5 linked regions of the Callithrix jacchus genome follow. The protein of the gene in region 4 interacts with the protein of the main gene of each other region in a biochemical or structural test. Links are inferred from orthologs where the notes say so. Each region holds a gene or a part of one and is shown on either strand. Other genes may lie near its edges. The genes, in order: SATB1, CTBP1, KLF13, KAT2B and IRF2.

Region 1 (3,515 bases), about 1.5 Mb from region 4:
CTCCCCACACTTCACAGAATGTAGGTTAGGGGTGAGTCATATCTGTTTGTCTTTCCTTTAGAGCCCCTCTCCCACCACCCTTGGGAAAGGAGAGTCTAGAGGCGTTTTCTTACCAGGCCTGCCGACCCCTGCACCATGGTTCGGTGCTGCTCCTCAGGTGAGCGGGCACAGTTACCTCTGCCAGCAAGGGACACAGAGAGGGGGTGAAATGAAGACCTGCTCCCCCAGGATTTTCAAAGGATATATAGCATAGCCATGGCCAGAGCCCACTGTTCGAGCAGATGCAGCCTTGTGCTTTGTCATGTTATGGGCCTTGTCACCATTCATCTTGTAAAGGAACTCTCCTGTGAATTTAGATGGAAGAGTTCTGGGATCAGGTAGTCATTAGTGCTCTTAGGTCCCCAATTGCTTAGGAAGCGTGTTGTCATTGAACTTGAGCTATAGAGCTTATATTTGTTAAAGGGGATGATTTTAGCTTTCTCTTTTAAAGTAAAATGCCATTGCCTTCCAGAGTCCTAAAATTCTACCTTTGTTGAATCACCTGCATTATTTTTTATATTTCTGTAAAAAAATATATATATGTGTGTGTGTGTGTGTGTGTGTGTGTGTACAGACATATATATATGTATAGCTAAAAACAATAATAGAGTTGTTTACCAGGATAAAAAAATTCTCAAGTGTGTATTAAAACAAGTTGACAGAGAGGTTCCCTTTAGGATTTCAAGCACTAAAATAACCATGAAAGCCTGAAAAACTTACTGTTTAGCAGAAACAAAAAAGCGAAAAATGTATGTTAAGTAATTTTAAAAAGTACTCATTTGAAAATGTAAATTGTTTTTAATAAAATTCCTTCTTAGAGGTATAAAAGGAAATGCATAGAGATGATAGCATTCTAATATTGTACCACTTACTCAGGTTGATTTGCTTTGCTCGTAAGAATTACGGATATCGAGAATACAGTATGTGCATGTGTCACATATTTATGTATAATTGTGTATGGAAATTATAGCACATATAGTAATTATGAAAAAGTGTCTGTATACACGAAATTTAAATCCTAATCACATCTGAGTTTACTATAGACAAAACAATTCGCTAGCCGTCGTATGGGGGATTGAACCTTTATTTTGAGGTAAGAAAAAAACTTGCAGTGTCAGCCCAGCGCAATTTGGTAAGAAATTGAGTGTGTATTAAATTGGAACTGTCTGATAGAAAAAGCGCAAATGTGAGAATCTTAAAAATTCTTTGCTTTCATGACAGATAACATGGAATAAGAGCATACGCTCATCTTCTGTTCTTCCTGGCCATTCAGTGAAACGGAGCAGAACACAAATTTCTTTCCCCACTGCTCCGTAGCTCACCTTTCTAAAATGTCTTTGAAATCCTAGCCTCTCCATCTTCATTTTAAATCTTTGTTAATTATTTACATCATAATTTGATGTGCCATCTTCGCCTTTGATGCGTATCCTTCTAGTGAAGTTTATGGCTCCCATTTTCAGAGCACTGAGTTTTCACTTCCTCCACTGATTTCTGATAAGTAAGTGCAGTAGCCCCCCATGTTATTCATTTGGGGAGCATAGCCATATTAATTCATCCATTCCTAGTTCATATCATTTTTGATTGTTTTCTAAATGCTGTGGGCCATTTAGCTGGCCTTCCTTTTTGTTCTAAGTCTTCGTCCCTATCAAAGAAGCTGTATGTGGGATTGTGACCACGTTTCCTGATTCGAGGCGGCTTTGTGTGGATCTCCACGATAGCAGAGCTCTGATTGTTTCCTTGTTTCTCTGCAGCAGCAACAACAGCAGCAGCAGCAGCAGCAGCAGCAACAGCAGCAGCAGGCGCCGCAGCCTCCACAGCCACAACAGCAGCCACAGGCAGGCCCTCGGCTCCCCCCACGGCAACCCACGGTGGCCTCTCCAGCAGAGTCAGATGAGGAGAACCGGCAGAAGACCCGGCCACGAACAAAAATTTCAGTGGAAGCCCTGGGAATCCTCCAGAGTTTCATACAAGACGTAGGCCTGTACCCTGACGAAGAGGCCATCCAGACTCTGTCCGCTCAGCTTGACCTTCCCAAGTACACCATCATCAAGTTCTTTCAGAACCAGCGGTACTATCTCAAGCACCATGGCAAACTGAAGGACAATTCCGGTTTAGAGGTCGATGTGGCAGAATATAAAGAAGAGGAGCTGCTGAAGGATTTGGAAGAGAGTGTCCAAGATAAAAATACTAACACCCTTTTTTCAGTAAAACTAGAAGAAGAGCTGTCAGTGGAAGGAAACACAGACATTAATGCTGATTTAAAAGACTGAGATAAAAGTATTCGTTTCGTTCAACAATTCCACTGGTATCTACTAATAAATTGAAAAGTTCACCTTGTACTCTCTCAGAAAACCTTTGTTGTTCATTGTTTGGCCAATGAATCTTCAAAAACTTGCACAAACAGAAAAGTTGGAAAAGGATAATACAGACTGCACTAAATGTTTTACTCTGTTTTACAAACTGCTTGGCAGCCCCAGGTGAAGCATCAAGGATTGTTTGGTATTAAAATTTGTGTTCACGGGATGCACCAAAGTGTGTACCCCGTAAGCATGGAAACAGTGATTTTTTTTTTTTTTTTAGTTATTATTCTGGAGCCTCAAACAAGCATTATAACTTCTGTGATTATGATTTTCTCTCCTATAATTATTTCTGTAGCACTCCACACTGATCTTTGGAAACTCGCCCCTTATTTAAAAAAAAAAAAGAAAAAAAAAGAGTTTGTTACTCTATTGTATGTTACAAAAGAACTATAGACTGTGGAATGCAGTTTAAAGATGACATATGCCAACAAATGCCTTGTATTATATGGCACTGCCGTAATTCAAATTTGTTTTTATTTTGGAAATAAAAGTTCACTGTAATTTTTTTTCATTCTCATTGTTACATGATTTTTTTAAAAAAAGGAAAAGAAAATGTGAAACACAATTTAGTCCTCATTATTTATTTGTAGATCCTGCAGCATCATGTTGTAATTAATTTTTTGGAAGTTTCCGTTAAATGTAATATTGCTTCTCTTGTTACCATACTGATTCTTTTCTATTTATAAATGTATTTTGATGGGCAGTAAAACAAAGTGTCTTAAAAGTTTTAAATAGAGAAAATGTGCTTTACACAGTTGCCTATAAAAAGTGCTCTATGTTATCCAAGCAATTCATACTATAAGCTTCACTCTTATTGTTGTATGCAATTTTTACTATCATGCAAATAAGCTTAGGTAAATAAAACTAATAGATCACCTTAGAAAATTATGCAATTAATGTGAAAATAATTGATGTTTGCAATGTGTCTTCCTTTGGTTTACAATCAATTTTAAAGCTACATCTGTATAAAATTTCTGTATAAAGGTGTATTTCTTTTTTATGAGTTTATGGCTATGAAAACACCAGCTATTTTGTTACAGCTGGCTGTTTTTATAAGTGTATCACAATTTTCTTTATGCAGAAATGTTCTGCCTAGGAGTGGTTATTGACTGTAAC
Region 2 (3,515 bases), on a different chromosome or scaffold from region 4:
TTTATACGAACCTGTCTAGGCAGCCTGGGATTACTGCAATTTCAGAAAACCTCTGTTTTGCCTTAGTTTTCCAATCTGTTGGCAGACCCTGCTTTAGTGTGACTTACAACTTTCCAAGTTGACCATGTGCCTCTTTTCCATTCCATACGTGTGTGTCTTTAACACACACCCAGCCTCCCAGTGAGAAAACCGTACTAGCCAGGGCACTGTCAAAACCAAGTGGGTGCCACATGACTCCAGGTGTACACCGTGGCCGGGCATGCATGTGGACACGCCCGTGTGATGTGCTCATGTGCAGATTCCGGCACACTGGCCCACTGGCAGCTCCCCCGCCCGCACCCCAGCAATGGTTTCCGTCACGCTGATGCCTCTGCCTGAACATGAAGAGATCAGGCAGCATGCAGCCCTTGAAACCAGCTCTTCACTCGCCATCACGCTACCGAGATCCCCCCGCCTGTTGCTGAGGATGCCAAGGGAGGTGGCCAGCGTTTGCCTGGCCACTGACCTGCCAAAGGGCAGCCGGGGCGTGTCCTGGTTTGGGGCATGTCCTGGTTTGGGCCGTGATGATTACAGTTGCCAGGGAGCATGACGCGCGGTTCTGCCCGCGGACGTGCGTTCCAAGCCTCTGCGACTAAGGAGTGTGGCCACTGGGCTGCATTACAGGCGCACATCTAACTGCATGAGAAACCAGGAAGCGTTTTGCAGAGCGACCGCCGGCCGCAGCAGACGCGCGCCCATCTTTAGCACCATGTTTCCTTTGGAAATGCTTCTGCTGTCATCCCTTCCAGCCCCTCCCCTCTATTGTTCCAAAGTGTCTGTGAGGGTGGCTCCTCATCTCACCCTCCTGGCTGCTAAACCTGCCCCTCTGTTCTCCCATTCGGCTTCGGCGTGTCTCAGATCCACACCTCACCTCCTCTGAGGCACCATGCCCCGTTTTAGGGGCAGCAGCTCCTCGTCGGTGTCTGGCCCGGCCTCCTCCTGAGGGCTGTGCTGGGGTCACCATGCCGTGGTCAGCTCGGGGAGCTCTGGTGGACCCGCACTGCCTTTTCTGGCTTTTGGGCTTTATGCCTCATCTGCCATCTCCTGACTGCCTGGTTATCTCTACTGCATTTGACGGACCCTGGGCCAGACGATGATCTGTAGAAATGAACCGAGGCCCAGGCTGATGCTACGTTCCTCTGAAGGGGCTGTCCCATTTCTTCCTGCCAGGCACCTGGGGCCAGGCAGTGTGGGATCCCCTGAAATCCAGGCTCAAGTCTCCCCCGATGTTGGCAGGCTGGATGCCCACTGTACGGCATGTCAGAGTCCAGGGCACCCTCACTCCAGGTGTCACCTTACAGGCCATGGCTGTCCCAGCAGGCCCCACACCCTGCAGACCATGGCTGCTGCCAATGCCAAATGCAACCCCTCAGCCACTTCTTCGAGAACAGCCAACACCCCAGGCCAGAACGGGCAGGGCCCACCCGTTCCTACAGATTCTGGGCTTGTCTGGATTGTAGCCTGGGCAGCTGTAGCTCTGTCCTGTTAGCTCCTGAGGACCCAGCTTCTTCGTCTGTCTTCAGGGAAAAGCTGCTCTGAATCACTAACCTCTGGCTACAAGCAGAGCCAGACCGACCTGTTTCTCATCACGGAGGAGCCTGTGGATCTCCTGAGCAAACACGACTCAGGAAAGCTGCCCGAAGGCTGCCCACTGCTGGACCACAGCCAAGTCGTGGGCAATGCCAAGACCACCCATGCGCATGCAAAGACCGCTGTGCGCCCGGAGCCAGGGGAAGCAATTCACTCTGGCCCTGCAACAAAAGCAGCGTCCTGAGGACCTGCTCTCTGGGAGAAAACTGGAAATGAATCCAGAAGCTACAGGCGAAACCCCATGTCCATCTCCTAATGGGGCAGGGTGAAAGGGACAGAGGCTGCACCTGTCCCAGTGGCATCCAGACCTGCTGCGGCCCATGCTCCCATCCCTCCCAACTCCCCTCCGGCATGTGGCTCTGGCAGCCCCAGGACAGTACGTGGTGGTACCTTCTCATGGATCTCCTGCGTGGACTGTGCGTCGCAGAAGGCCACGGTGGCCACGTCCTTCAGGATAGGCATCTCCACCGTGCAGTCCCGGCCATCCAGCAGTGCCACCAGGGGCCGCGGGTGCAGGGGCCCGTTCATGATTGGAGGTCGGACGCCTGCAAGACAGAAGCAAGTGCTCAGCCTTGCACCACCGCAGCCCGTAGCCACAACCTGCTCCACACTGCCCACTGTGCACCGGCCGATGAGGGCTTTCCATTCTACATGTTGTGATATTTGTAAAAAGTGAATTAAAAATCCATAGGAAAGACAGATTTGTGTGCCTCAGCTCGCTGACACGAGTGGACACAGACTACAGACACCCACCACCATTGCCCTCAGGCACAGGGGCTCCCAGACCCCCTGAGACCCTCCCAGACCTGTCTGAGATTCCCCAAGACTCCCCCATACCCTCCGAGATCCCGAGACCCCAGGGCAGCTCCATGAGGCGGAGGGACAGGAGGGACCCGTGACACTGGAGGGCACAGATCGCAGCACAGGGCTTTAGGAACATGGCTGCCCTTTTCCGCCTGGGCTACCGTGTGGCTGCTGGAATCCCCGATGGGTCACCAATATTTCACACAGAACGCCCCACCCTCTGCCTGGCATCACTTCCATTTGTAAATTTGAAGGGACAAGAAACAGAGCTATAGAGGAAAGTCCACTGTTAAAGTCCACTGTGCCCCTACCTTCCCAGAATGAGCTGATTAAAAACCACTAACACCCATTATTCCTTTCACGTATGACACAGCTAAGCTTCGTTCGGGGCCACATGGAGAAAGAGGGGCTCTGAGGTGTCACAGAAGCACAGCAGCTTCCAGGCACCACCCGGCCACCCTGTGCCAGGCAGGGAGCACCGGGTGCTGGGAAAAGGCAGAGCTGGAGCCAGGGTCTGGCCGGTCCACCCCCCAGACTGGCCCCAGGAGACCAAGGAGCCCCCAGGACCATTTGGCCAGCAGGAGGGGAGACACAGGACAGAACCAAGAAACGGAGTGACCCAGTAAAGTCCTCAGTGGCTGCAGCCACATGCACGCTCAGCCGTCTCCCACCCCATCTACCAGCAGGTAAGCAGAGGCCACCAAGCCGCCAGGGCCCAGAATGCACTGCAAACACGGCTCTTGGAGCCCACGGCAGAGAAAAGAGACACCCTGGTGGACAGCCCAAGGGTGCAATGGGCCTGCAGCAGGTGCCTGCAGGGGACAGGGCACAGGTCTCCACTGACCACCCCAAAGCCGAGGGCTCCCGGTACGGCTGGGCCCAGGCTCCTCCTTCTAAGTCCTCACGCCCCAGTGACCTCAGAGGAGCCACTGGCCATTCCACCCACTTGCCTTCAAGACAGGAAAGGTGCCAGGACCTGCCCAGACCCCAAACACGGGGTGTGCACGATCAAAACCACATCCTGGTTTGCCTGTTCCCTCATTCCATCTGGACAGGAGCTGCCCATGACCCCCCTCCTGCAG
Region 3 (3,515 bases), on a different chromosome or scaffold from region 4:
ATGCCAGGCACTGGTTTGAGGCGTGCCTGTGTCCCCCAGGAGGATGGGGCAGCGTGCTTACTTCCTGCGGCTGCTGTCACACATTGCCACAAACTGGGTGGCTGAAAAGCAACTGAAACTCACTCTCTCGCAGTTCCAGAAGCGAGGAGCCTGAAATCAAGGTGTTGGCTGGGTTAGTTTCTTCCAGAGGCTCTGAGGGAGAATCCGCTCCCTGCCTCCCCTTCCTTCCCCTGCCCACTTTCTCCCCCTCCTCTCTTGCTCCCTTTCCCCTCTCACTGGCTCCCTCCCCTCGTCCCTACCTTCCACACTTGGGAGCTCCTGTCCAGATCCTTACCTGATGACACCCGCAAAGACCTTTCTCCAAATGAGGTCACATGCACAGGTTCTGGGGGTTATGACTTGGCTGTATCTTTTTAGGGACCATTATCTGTCCTACTGCAGGCAGCAAGGGGTTTGTTTGGGCCATACTGTCACAACTCAGTGCAAACAGGGTCTGAACCTCATCTGTCAGACCTGACATGGCTAACACTGAACGATGTATTTAATGCTGGGCTTCCCCAGGCTTTGAATGACAGTCTGCCTTGTGAATCTCCAAGAGTGGAATTACCATGCAACGTTTTCACTCTGGTTGATGAAACTTTTTATTCTGGAACTGATGAAGCTTTATACAATGATAACGTTGCTTTGAACATGTTTTGGGAAATACTGGACTAGCTATATAAAGAATTAAACACTTCATTTTATTGTTATGAAGAAACAAATATGTATTTTTTTAAAAGACCCAAGTCAGACATGTGGCTCACGCTTGTAATCCCAACACTTCGGGAGGCTGAGGAGGATGCATCACTTGAGGTCAGAAGTTCAAGACCAGCCTGGCCAACATGGTAAAACTCTGTCTCTACTAAAAATACAAAAATTAGCCAGGCACAGATGGGCACCTGTAATCCCAGCTTACTCAGGAGGCTGAGGCAAGAAAATTGCCTGAACCCAGGAGGCAGAGGTTACAGTGAGCCGAGACCACACCATTGCACTCCAGCCTGGGTGACAGAGCGAGACTGCCTCAGATTAGATAGGTAGGTAGGTAGGTAGGTGAATATGTAGGTAGATACATACCCATAACACACAGAGCTTGCAACAAAACACATGGCCTCACCAGTCCAGCCCCGCTCCCTAGAGAGCAGCCCTTCTTTTCTGATTTTAGTTGTCTTGATGTTTACGGCCATAAATGAACTGTATTCTATTGCTGTTTCGTGATATATCAAATTTAGGTATTCTCTGTTATCCTCCTGCCATGAAATTTAAGGATTTACCTCCTGTCCCTCCCCTCCAACTCTTCCTCAATTGATGGATGTATTATTTTACTTATTTTGTTAAGTATCCTTGTAATTTGAAACCTCTGTGTTTCACTTAGACATGTCCTTTTTTACTCCGAGTGCATTCCCACTTTTCTCTTAAATCCATGTTCTCTTCCGGGCCCATAGGTCCGTTGTGTGGCCTTTGTTTATGGGATTGGTTCCAAAACACTGACAGCTAGTGCTAAGCTTAGCATGACCACACTGTGTAGTTTCCATCGGCAGGGCCTGTGCTGGGATTACATTTCCTGCCGCTACCTCGTAGACTTGTTGTGAAGGAGAAGTAATAGAGCATAGGAAAAACCCCTAGACTGAGCTTGGCTTGGAGCTCCTGACTCATAATCATGTGGCATTTTAGTTTATATCTAATCTGAACCACACTTTTTTTGTATGTCTTCTATTTTTCCTGGAGTTTCTAATTGCCTCTCTTTTTTCTTTTAAACAAAGAGTAATAATGTGCCTTTACTGTGTCCTGAAGTTTATCCAGCCTTATGGATATGGGGGGTGAGAAGGGATGAGGCCAGGTAGGAAGGGCAGCCCTGTGGCTACCCCTAATGCCAGGAGGGCTGCTTTCTGGGGTGCCAGAGCCCCCCACCCTGGTTCTTCCTGAGCAGTTGATGTCATTTTTGTGGTTGAGAGTTTGCCAGGGTAAATGCTGGCCTGTCTCCTGCTCTGAGTGAGGGATGGGAAGGAGGGAGCAGCATCCTGACTGTAGCGCACCTTTGTCACCTCCCACCCCCACTGTGTTCCGCCACCTCCCCACCTGCACAGGTCCCTGATGGGGTGCTCTGCGCTGCTGTCTGTCACCATGCTTGGGTCTGCGCGAACCTGTCTCGTTCTCCTGCTCTGCCAGCCAACCCTGGTTGGCCACTTTGGGACTTGCATGAGAGAGGGAGCGGCACACTGGTTGTAGAATTCCAGGCCCTGGAGATCCCCGAGGCTGACCCGTTCATGTTACAGACTAGCCGGAGAATTGTCTTCCTGCCCTGCAGAGGTCCAGGGTGTGGCTGCCGTGAGCAGCAGGGGTGATCACAGTGCCTGGACTCCGGGAGGCCTGTGAAGCCAGGGCCTGGGCCTGTCATCCCCATGCATTGGGGACCGCTGGCCCTGCCTGGTGTGTGGTGCTTCCTGCTTTGTGGGGTACTTGGGGGGTCCACGGCCAGGAGCCTTGGCCCTGCTCCTTCCCACCCACGGGCCCTGCAGTTCAGCACCTGCAGTGCTGTTTTATCCTAGGCCGTGTCCTCTTCTTCCATCCCAGGCGTGGGCAGGAGGGCAGGGGCCCACCTTCATCTCTGCTCTGAGGGATTTGTCACAGAAGCTCTTGGAGGTGGGGCACGTGGGAGGGGCGATAAGAGACTCTGGGGTGTCGCGGACCCTTTCCCAGAGAGGGTGTGCACGCGGGGACAGGCCAGATACTGACGCCCTGCCCCTGTGCCCACAGGTGAGAGGCCCTTCGCCTGCAGCTGGCAGGACTGCAACAAGAAGTTCGCACGTTCCGACGAGCTGGCGCGGCACTACCGCACGCACACGGGCGAGAAGAAGTTCAGCTGCCCCATCTGCGAGAAGCGCTTCATGCGCAGCGACCACCTGACCAAGCACGCGCGCCGCCACGCCAACTTCCACCCGGGCATGCTGCAGCGGCGCGGCGGGGGCTCGCGGACCGGCTCCCTCAGCGACTACAGCCGCTCCGACGCCAGCAGCCCCACCATCAGCCCGGCCAGCTCGCCTTGAGCCCGCCACAGCCATGAGCAGCCGCTCCCGCGCCCTCGTGAGTCCCTGGCCTTTCCTTTTGTAATAAGAAGAGAGAGAACTCGATGCGAAGTCCACGAAAAAAGAATTTTCTTCACCTCAGGTGTCAAAGTAAATTTGTCTAAAAAAAAAAAAACCCACAAAAATTTAAAAAAACACCACCCACCAATTGCACAATAGATAGACCCACAAAGTTGAGATTCAGCGGTGTTGAACCCCCTTTCTCAGGGATGGACACGTTCCACGAGGTCAGTGAGGACACCCCTTCCTGCCGCCTTACTCTGTACATAGATTTGCACTCTGGAGTTTTCTGTTAGGTTCGGGGACACACTGGGGACAGAGCAGGCCAGCCAGTCTGGAGCTCAGCGTCTGGCTGGCTGGCCGGCCAGCCTGTGGGTCTGTTGGGAGCAGACG
Region 4 (4,220 bases):
GGACTGTTTTGAAGGAAAAACACAACCCTTAAGGCGTCTGGCTGGGGAGCTATACAGCATGGGTAGAGTCTGATAATAAGCACATTATGACCCACATTACATACAACAAAAAGTAGGGCACTTCTGAAGGGTCCTGGGAAACAGCCTGGGCTTTTAAAACCTGCTTTAGGAAGGCGACCAACGGTACACCATTTCAAACGCAGCACTGACATCTATGCTCCAGTCATCAACAGTGAAAACAATAGTTTTCAACAAGAGTTGAAAACACTGAGTTGAGGTTGTCTTTTTTTTTTCTTTTGAAAGTTTGAAGCCAAAATCAATATTTATTCTTTTGAATGATGCTTAATTTTTTTTTCCTGGTTAATATGCACGCTGATGGTACAATTTTGAAAACTACGAAACGTTATAGAACCACCACCCAGAGACGAATCCTGTTAACAAACTTTTTGTATTTAAACTTTTTCCACTGCACATAGTTTTTATTTTGACAATGATTTTAGGCAATCGTTCTTTGAGCAACCAGCACTTTCAAACAAAAATTACAGAGAATATTAAGTTTTTCCCCCCCCTCTGGCAGATTTGGCCCAGAAATTGCTATGGGAAGAAAGTGTTAATTATGTTAAAACACAGTTTGACAGAAAGTGTTTAAAAAGAGAAAGGGAGAACATCACGCCTTTATTTTGATGAATTAGCAACAAAGAAAAGGATTAGCATGGACGGGTACTTTTCAAAAATGTATTTTTTTTTTCCTCTGGCTCCCGCTAGGGTGGAGGAAGTTGTCTCTCCGCTCAGAGACAGGGTGGAAGAGAGTGGAAGGACAAATGACTGAGAGGCTGCCCCCTCACACTGGCGCGGGCGTGCGGGGTCGGATGGGGGGCTGCGGAGGGGGGAGGTGGCCAGCAGGTGCCTGGGCTCCAGGCCCCTACCCCCACCCTCGTCCCCACCCTCACCCACACCCAGGGATTGGCCTCGCCCCCTGGCGGGCGAGCCGTAGGTGTCGAGGCACCCGGGTGGGGGGTGCAAACCCCGCGGGCAGCGGAAAAGAGGCCGTGGGGGGCCTCCCGGCTCCGGCACACTAGGAGGCTGGCGGCCGCCGGCACGCACACCCAGTCCGCAGCCCCGAGGAACATGTCCGCGGCCAGGGCGCCGAGCAGAGTCCCGGGCAGGAGAACCGAGGGAGGGCGTGTGCTGTGGCGGCGGTGGCGGCAGCGGAGCCGCTAGTCCCCTCCCTCCTGGGGGAGCAGCTGCCGCCGCTGCCGTCGCCGCCGCCACAGCCGCCACCACCATCAGCGCGCGGGCCCCGGCCGGAGCGAGCCGGGCAAGCGGCGCGCGCGGGGGAGGGCGGGGGCGGGGAGGGGGGTGGGCGAAGGGGGCGGGAGGGCGTGGGGGGAGGGTCTCGCTCTCCCGACGACCAGAGCCCGAGAGGGAGACCCTGGCGGCGGCGGCGGCGCCTGACACTCGGCGCCTCCTGCCGTGCTCCGGGGCGGCATGTCCGAGGCTGGCGGGGCCGGGCCGGGCGGCTGCGGGGCAGGAGCCGGGGCAGGGGCCGGGCCCGGGGCGCTGCCCCCCCCGCCTGCGGCGCTGCCGCCCGCGCCCCCGCAGGGCTCCCCCTGCGCTGCTGCCGCCGGGGGCTCGGGCGCCTGCGGTCCGGCTACGGCAGTGGCTGCAGCGGGCACGGCCGAAGGACCGGGAGGCGGTGGCTCGGCCCGAATCGCCGTGAAGAAGGCGCAACTACGCTCCGCTCCACGGGCCAAGAAACTGGAGAAACTCGGAGTGTACTCCGCCTGCAAGGTACGCGCGGGCTGCTCTCGGACCGCGGATGGTGCTAGGGGCCCAGCCCGCGGGACCCCCTCCCCCTCCCTCCTTCACCCCCGCCTCCCGCCTCCTGCCTCTCGCCTCCCGCCTGGGGCCGCTGCACCGCGGAAGTGCTCTTGTCGCCCGCGCCCAATTAGCTTCTTCTTGGATAAGAGTCCTGCTGGGTTTGAAGAAGGGGGATCGCTAAGACCGAGAGCCCTTCGTTCCTTCAGCTTGAAAAGAGTGGCTTCGGCTTCCGAGCTCCCGGGCTACCCTGGGGTTTTGTTGCTCTGTAGGAGCTCGCTGGAGTCACTTTGCCGGGAGTGGAACGGTGCTCTCCATGTGGCGGGAGACCCCGGGGCAAAGAAAAATCTTTTGGCGCACTGAGTGGTCCCTTCTGCAGTCGATCTCCTCCCTTGTCCCATTGGGAGGAACTGGGTACAAGGAGTGGGGGTGAAGACTCGCGGACTCTTGGCGCTTTGGGAAAGCGAAGGGGAGGAAGGCGCGGGGCGGGAAGGTGGGCAGAGCTCGAGGCGAGGGTCTCTTGGAGCCTGGCGCCCTCGGCTGGGGGCGGAGGCACTGCCGGGCGCAGTGACAGCCCTGTCATTATTGTATTATTACTTGTTTAGTTAAAACGCTGTCCCAGCTGCTCGAGGTGTAAACAGGATTTGGCAAGGTGACAGCCCAGCACAGCGGGCACTACTGCCCAGTGTGAGGACACCTATTTCTTGCTATCCACTCTCCATGCCAGTTTAGGAACCCCGTCACCCCCAGCTGCAGATCCAGATGTGGAGGCTGTGCTCCCGAGGTGGGAGCAATGCCCGAGGCCGCGGGGCAGGCTGGCCCTGCGCTGTCAGCAGCGGCTTTGTTTTGACAGGGTGACAGCTGAGGGGGGCGGGGACTTGGCCTTGTCAGCTCCTGCGGCCTGTGGCTGAGGCAGGGAAGAGACACACTCACACACACACACACCTCCCATGTGTTCTTCCTGCCTGCTGCAAGCAGGGTCAGGTTGCCCGGTTCCAGATTCCTGATTCCCACAACCAAGCTGCAGGGGCCACTTCTGAATTGTGACATAACTATAATTTATCCTACTAGAACATCTCGGTTAGACTCTTTTTAGTACTTACAGGAGCTTCTCAGTCGCAATGGAATGTCTGTGCTTGCTCTTTTTCCACACCATATCCTCATGTTTATATTGAGCACCTCTGTGTCCTATACTGGTTCAATAAATATTTGTTGAGTGAATGTAGGATCTAGCCCACTGCTCCTCAAACGTTAATGTGGATAGGAATCTCCTGGGGAAACTGGTTAAAATGCTGATTCTGAACCAGCTGGTCTGAGGTGGAAGCTGAGGGTCTGCATTTCTGACCAACTCCTAAGTGATACTACGCTAGTCCACAGACCACGTTCCAGTTCAGAACTGGGCAGTATATTATTTGGCTCTTTGAATTCAGTAGAAAAGACAGAAACAAATAATAATGCCATGTGGTTATTTCTGAAGAAGGAATGCAAAGAAGATGAAGTTGGGAGTGTGCTTCTAAGAAAGGCACAAGCCCAGGAGTTGATGATGAAGGGCGTTAGACTGATGAGAACAGGACACTGACTGTGGCAGGCAGAAGGGAGAGCTGTGTATAGAATTAAGAACAAGGTCATGGGTATAGGGCGTACTGCTTGGGTGATAGGTACACCAAAATCTAACAGATCACCACTAAAGAACTTACTCATGTAACTAAACAACCACCTCTTCCCCAAAACCTATGAAAACACAGAAGAAGGTCAATTTCTTGGTGGCCTTGGTGTTTTGCAGCCGAAGTGGGCTCGTGTAGGAACTGTGTCAACTCAGTGTTTCTGTACTGGCTTTATTTAATTATTTTTGAAATGGAGATTCGCCCTTATTGCCCGGGCTGGACTTCAGTGGCGTGAACTTGGCTCACTGCAACCTCTGCCTCCCAGGTTCAAGCGTTTCTCCTGCCTCAGCCTCCCAAGCAGCTTGGGATTACAGGCATGCGCCACCATGCCTGGCTAATTTTTTGTATTTTAATAGAGATGGAGTTTCTCCATGTTGGTCAGGGTGGTCTCAAACTCCTGACCTCAGGTGACCTGCCCGCCTTGGCCTCCCAAAGTGCTGGGATTATAGACGTGAGCCACTGTGCCCGGCCTGTCCTGGCTTTATTTTTAATTTTATTTATTGGGTTCTCCTCACTAGCACCTGTTAAAGATTTCCTGCTGCCTGCTGTACCTTTAATATCTGAAAACTTTCCTGAAATTTTGGTTTTATCTAAAACCATGAGCATATGTGCCCTGCATTGATACCTGTGATCTTTTCAAATTTCCATGGGTGAGATGTAGCACCACTTCCAAAGTTTGAGATTTGAGTGTTTTCTGGTCACTTTTATGACCCAACTTATAGTAAGAGAAAATTTCTT
Region 5 (3,515 bases), on a different chromosome or scaffold from region 4:
CTGGTAGGACATGGCCACCTGTGTGTGCCATTGGCAGACATGTTGGAGACAGACCTGGGGAGCCAGGTGTTGGCCTGGAGACATCACCCCAGAGCTACAGAACTCAGGCTTGTTCTTCAGCCCCATGGCAGGGGACAGGTGGGGAAGGGAGCCTGGCGATCTGCCTCTGTTGGGAAAGGCCTTCTTTCCTTTCTCATAGCACACTTATGAGAAAGTGTGCTAGAATTGTTAGGTCAGGAGACTTGGCATGATGACTCTTTTCTTCTCTGAAGTCGTAGGACAATCCCATCTGGACGGCAACATCGAGGATCAAGAGATTGTCACCAACCCGCCGGACATTTGCCAAGTTGTAGAGGTGACCACTGAGAGCGACGAGCAGCCGGCCAGCATGAGCGAGCTGTACCCTCTGCAGATCTCACCCGTGTCTTCCTACGCGGGTAAGCGGCAGGAGGGGGCTCCAGGACGCCTGGGAACAGGCCGCGGGGTCCTCTGGTCTAGCGGCAGGAGGGGGCTCCAGGACGCCTGGGAACCAGCCGCGCGGTCCTCTGGTCTAGCGGCAGGAGGGGACTCCAGGACGCCTGGGAACCGGCCGCGCGGTCCTCTGGTCTAGCGGCAGGGCGGGGCTCCAGGACCCCTGGGAACAGGCCGCACGGGCGGGGCTCCAGGATGCCTGGGAACCTGCCGCGGGGTCCTCTGGTCTAGCTCGGGGCTCCAGGATGCCTGGGAACTGGCCGCGGGGTCCTCTGGTCTAGCTCGGGGCTCCAGGACGCCTGGGAACCAGCCGCGCGGTCCTCTGGTCTGGGGTCTCCCCTCTCACCACCCCTTGGAGCGTAGGATTCCTCTGTCCTCGCAGTTGTTCTTCCTGGAATGTTTCATACTTTAATTTCTTGGTAATCAACATCTTCGTGGACACTTTCGTTTGCAGTTACAGGACAGGATCAGGATCACAACATTTCTTCACTAAGTCACCCATTATGTTGTTGTTTTTTTTCTTGATACAGAGTCTTGCTCTCTTGCCCAGGCTGGAGTGCAGTGGGATGATCTCAGCCCACAGCAACCTCTGTCTTCTGGGTTCGAGTGATTCTCTTGCCTCAGCCTTCTAAGTAGCTGGGGTTACAGGGGCGCACTACCATGCCAGCTAGGTTTTGTATTTTCAGTAGAGACCGGGTTCTACTGAACCCTGGCCATGTTGGCCAGGCCCGTCTCAAACTCCTGACCTCTGGTGATCCAGCCACCTTGGTCTCCCAAAGTGCTGGGATTTCAGACGTGAACCATGGTGCCCGCCTCCCATAACACTTTTATGTATGGTTAACAGACGAGATTTCTCTGGAGCAGCGGTTCATCAGAGTCTAATTTATTTGCCCAAGTAGTCAGAAACTTGGCACAGTGTTTTAATGGATTCTCAATTTGAGCAGGCTGGATAGGACCTTAGAGATGATCTCTTCCGGTTCCTTCATTTCTCTGGACGGGAAGGGGCTTGCTGAATTGGAGGTCGTGCAGTCAGAAGCGTCTGGGCCAGGACTTGACCTCAACCTTCAGACCCCGAGCTCACTGCTGGACCCATTCCATTCCACCAAGCTGACTTGTCTCTTCCACGTATTTTCTCTTTCTTTTTCTATCTAGTACAGGTTCTAATCAGGCAAGATGACTGAGCCCATTTCCAGTTCCCCAGGGACTTGGCCACATAATGACAGGAGTCGGCCTGGCCAGTCATAGGAGGAGAAACAGATCCAGTGGGTTCTTCCATTCTTACAGAGTAAAAGCAGGGCCCCTCTTGTTCACTGGCGTCACTTCCTCATCTTCTCCTCTCTTCCTGACGATCTCCAATAAATTTTGTAAAAATCAATCGTAATTAGGAAATATAAATTCTGAGTCGGTGTTATTGCTTGCAGATATTAAAAATAAAAAGCAGAGACCCCATGATAGGAAACTCCAGTTCAGCTCTAGTCAACAGCTCGGGGATTCTTCCCAGAGCTCTTTACGCGCTGCCAAATGGGTGTCCTCCAGCAGGTGCCACCCGCAAGACTGGCTCAGACCAGCGTTGGAATTAGAGTTGACTCAAAGGACCGGTTGCTTGTGAATTATCAGCTGCTAAATCTAATCTCATTTTCCCTGAACACCAACTTTTAAAAATTTTGGTAAAATACATTAACATAAAAATCACTATTTTAGCCATTTTTAAGTGCACAGTTTAGTAGCATTAAGTGCATGAATGTTGTACAGCTGTGACCAGCATCCATCTTCAGCACGTTTTTCATCTTGCAAAACTGACACTCTGTCCCCATGAAACACTAAGTCCCCTTTTCCCTCCTCTACCCTAGCCCTTGGCAACCTCTTACCTATTTTCCATCTCAATGAATATGGCTATTCTAGGTCCCTCGTGTGGGTGGAATCATAGTGCTTGTTGTTTTGTGACTGGCTTATTGCACTTAGCATAGGTCCTGGTGTACATTTACACTAGCAACGTAAGTGAAATGTGAGAATAAACCTTGGCTACAGAAAGGTTCTAATCTGTCAGACAGGATAAGCTTGTCATCAGTGATTTATTCAGCAAATGCATTTTGAACTTTTTTTTTTTTTGAGACGGAGTCTCACTTTGTCACCCAGGCTGGAGGGCAGTGACACGATCTCCGCTCATTGCAACCTCCACCTCCCTGGTTTAAGCAATTCCCCTGCCTCAGCCTCCCAAGTGGCTGGGATTACAGGCGGGTGCCACCACGCACGACTAATTTTTTTGTATTTTTAGTAGAGACAGGGTTTCACCATGTTGGCTGGTCTTGAACTCCTGACCTCAGGCAGTTGCCTGCCTGGGCCTCCCAAAGTGCTGGGATTACAGGTGTGAGCCACTGCGCCCGGCCCACATTTTGAACTCATATGTGCCTTGCCAATATGCCGTCACAAGAACTACTATTCGTTGCAAGTTTATTGTGCCCTTGGAACCCTACTCAGTACTTGGGTGCAGTTGACTATTCGTTGTTATTTTTAATAGAAACAGGGTTCTGCCATGTTGCCCAGGCTGGTCTAGAACTCCTGGGCTCAAACAGTCTGCTCACCTTGGCCTCCCAAAGTGCTGGGGTTACAGGCATGAGCTGCCACACCTGGTATGATACAGCTGACTTGTGTAATTATAATTAGAGTAACCCTGTCAGCCTGGGCACCATCATTATCCCCATTTTAAAAGTGACAAATCTGGCCGGGCTCAGTGGTTCACGTCTATAATCCCAGCACTGGAAGGCCAAGGTAGGAGGATCGCTTGAGCCCAGGAATCGGAGACCAAGCCTGGGTGACGTAGTGAGACGCCACTTCTACAAAAAATAAAAAACGTTAGCTGGGCATGGTGGCATGTGCCTGTAGTCCCAGCTACTTGGGAGGCTGTGGCAGGAGCAACACTTGAGCCCAGGAGTTCAAGGCTTCAGTGAGCCCTGATTGCACCATTGCACTCCAGCCTGGGTGACAGAGCAAGATCCTGTCGTCAAAATATGTGTGTGTGTGTGTCTAGGGCTGACGTGGGTAAA

What was found.
Region 1: of the proteins of KAT2B (region 4) and SATB1, one has a biochemical effect on the other in vitro, tested with the Homo sapiens proteins (2 studies listed by BioGRID, with this or other methods). The link is inferred for Callithrix jacchus from reciprocal best matches to the Homo sapiens genes KAT2B and SATB1.
Region 2: the proteins of KAT2B (region 4) and CTBP1 form a complex in vitro, tested with the Homo sapiens proteins (2 studies listed by BioGRID, with this or other methods). The link is inferred for Callithrix jacchus from reciprocal best matches to the Homo sapiens genes KAT2B and CTBP1.
Region 3: of the proteins of KAT2B (region 4) and KLF13, one has a biochemical effect on the other in vitro, tested with the Homo sapiens proteins (2 studies listed by BioGRID, with this or other methods). The link is inferred for Callithrix jacchus from reciprocal best matches to the Homo sapiens genes KAT2B and KLF13.
Region 5: the proteins of KAT2B (region 4) and IRF2 form a complex in vitro, tested with the Homo sapiens proteins (2 studies listed by BioGRID, with this or other methods). The link is inferred for Callithrix jacchus from reciprocal best matches to the Homo sapiens genes KAT2B and IRF2.

Annotation. Positions count from the first base shown.
Region 1 is NC_133518.1:57,045,571-57,049,085, reverse strand, and holds part of SATB1 (DNA-binding protein SATB1), read left to right. Parts: intron 1-61; coding exon 62-157; coding exon of another isoform or gene 158-253; exon of another isoform or gene 254-272; intron 273-1,790; coding exon of another isoform or gene 1,791-1,793; coding exon 1,794-2,309; 3' UTR 2,310-3,515. UniProt on the Homo sapiens protein: Crucial silencing factor contributing to the initiation of X inactivation mediated by Xist RNA that occurs during embryogenesis and in lymphoma.
Region 2 is NC_133504.1:191,935,092-191,938,606, reverse strand, and holds part of CTBP1 (C-terminal-binding protein 1), read right to left. Parts: intron 2,175-3,515; coding exon 2,020-2,174; intron 1-2,019. UniProt on the Homo sapiens protein: Corepressor targeting diverse transcription regulators such as GLIS2 or BCL6. Has dehydrogenase activity. Involved in controlling the equilibrium between tubular and stacked structures in the Golgi complex.
Region 3 is NC_133507.1:6,651,787-6,655,301, reverse strand, and holds part of KLF13 (Krueppel-like factor 13), read left to right. Parts: intron 1-625; exon of another isoform or gene 626-2,793; coding exon 2,794-3,083; 3' UTR 3,084-3,515. UniProt on the Homo sapiens protein: Transcription factor that activates expression from GC-rich minimal promoter regions, including genes in the cells of the erythroid lineage. Represses transcription by binding to the BTE site, a GC-rich DNA element, in competition with the activator SP1.
Region 4 is NC_133518.1:58,551,608-58,555,827, forward strand, and holds the start of KAT2B (histone acetyltransferase KAT2B), read left to right. Parts: upstream 1-1,413; 5' UTR 1,414-1,488; coding exon 1,489-1,791; intron 1,792-4,220. UniProt on the Homo sapiens protein: Functions as a histone acetyltransferase (HAT) to promote transcriptional activation. Has significant histone acetyltransferase activity with core histones (H3 and H4), and also with nucleosome core particles.
Region 5 is NC_133504.1:6,985,602-6,989,116, forward strand, and holds part of IRF2 (interferon regulatory factor 2), read left to right. Parts: intron 1-272; coding exon 273-437; intron 438-3,515. UniProt on the Homo sapiens protein: Specifically binds to the upstream regulatory region of type I IFN and IFN-inducible MHC class I genes (the interferon consensus sequence (ICS)) and represses those genes. Also acts as an activator for several genes including H4 and IL7.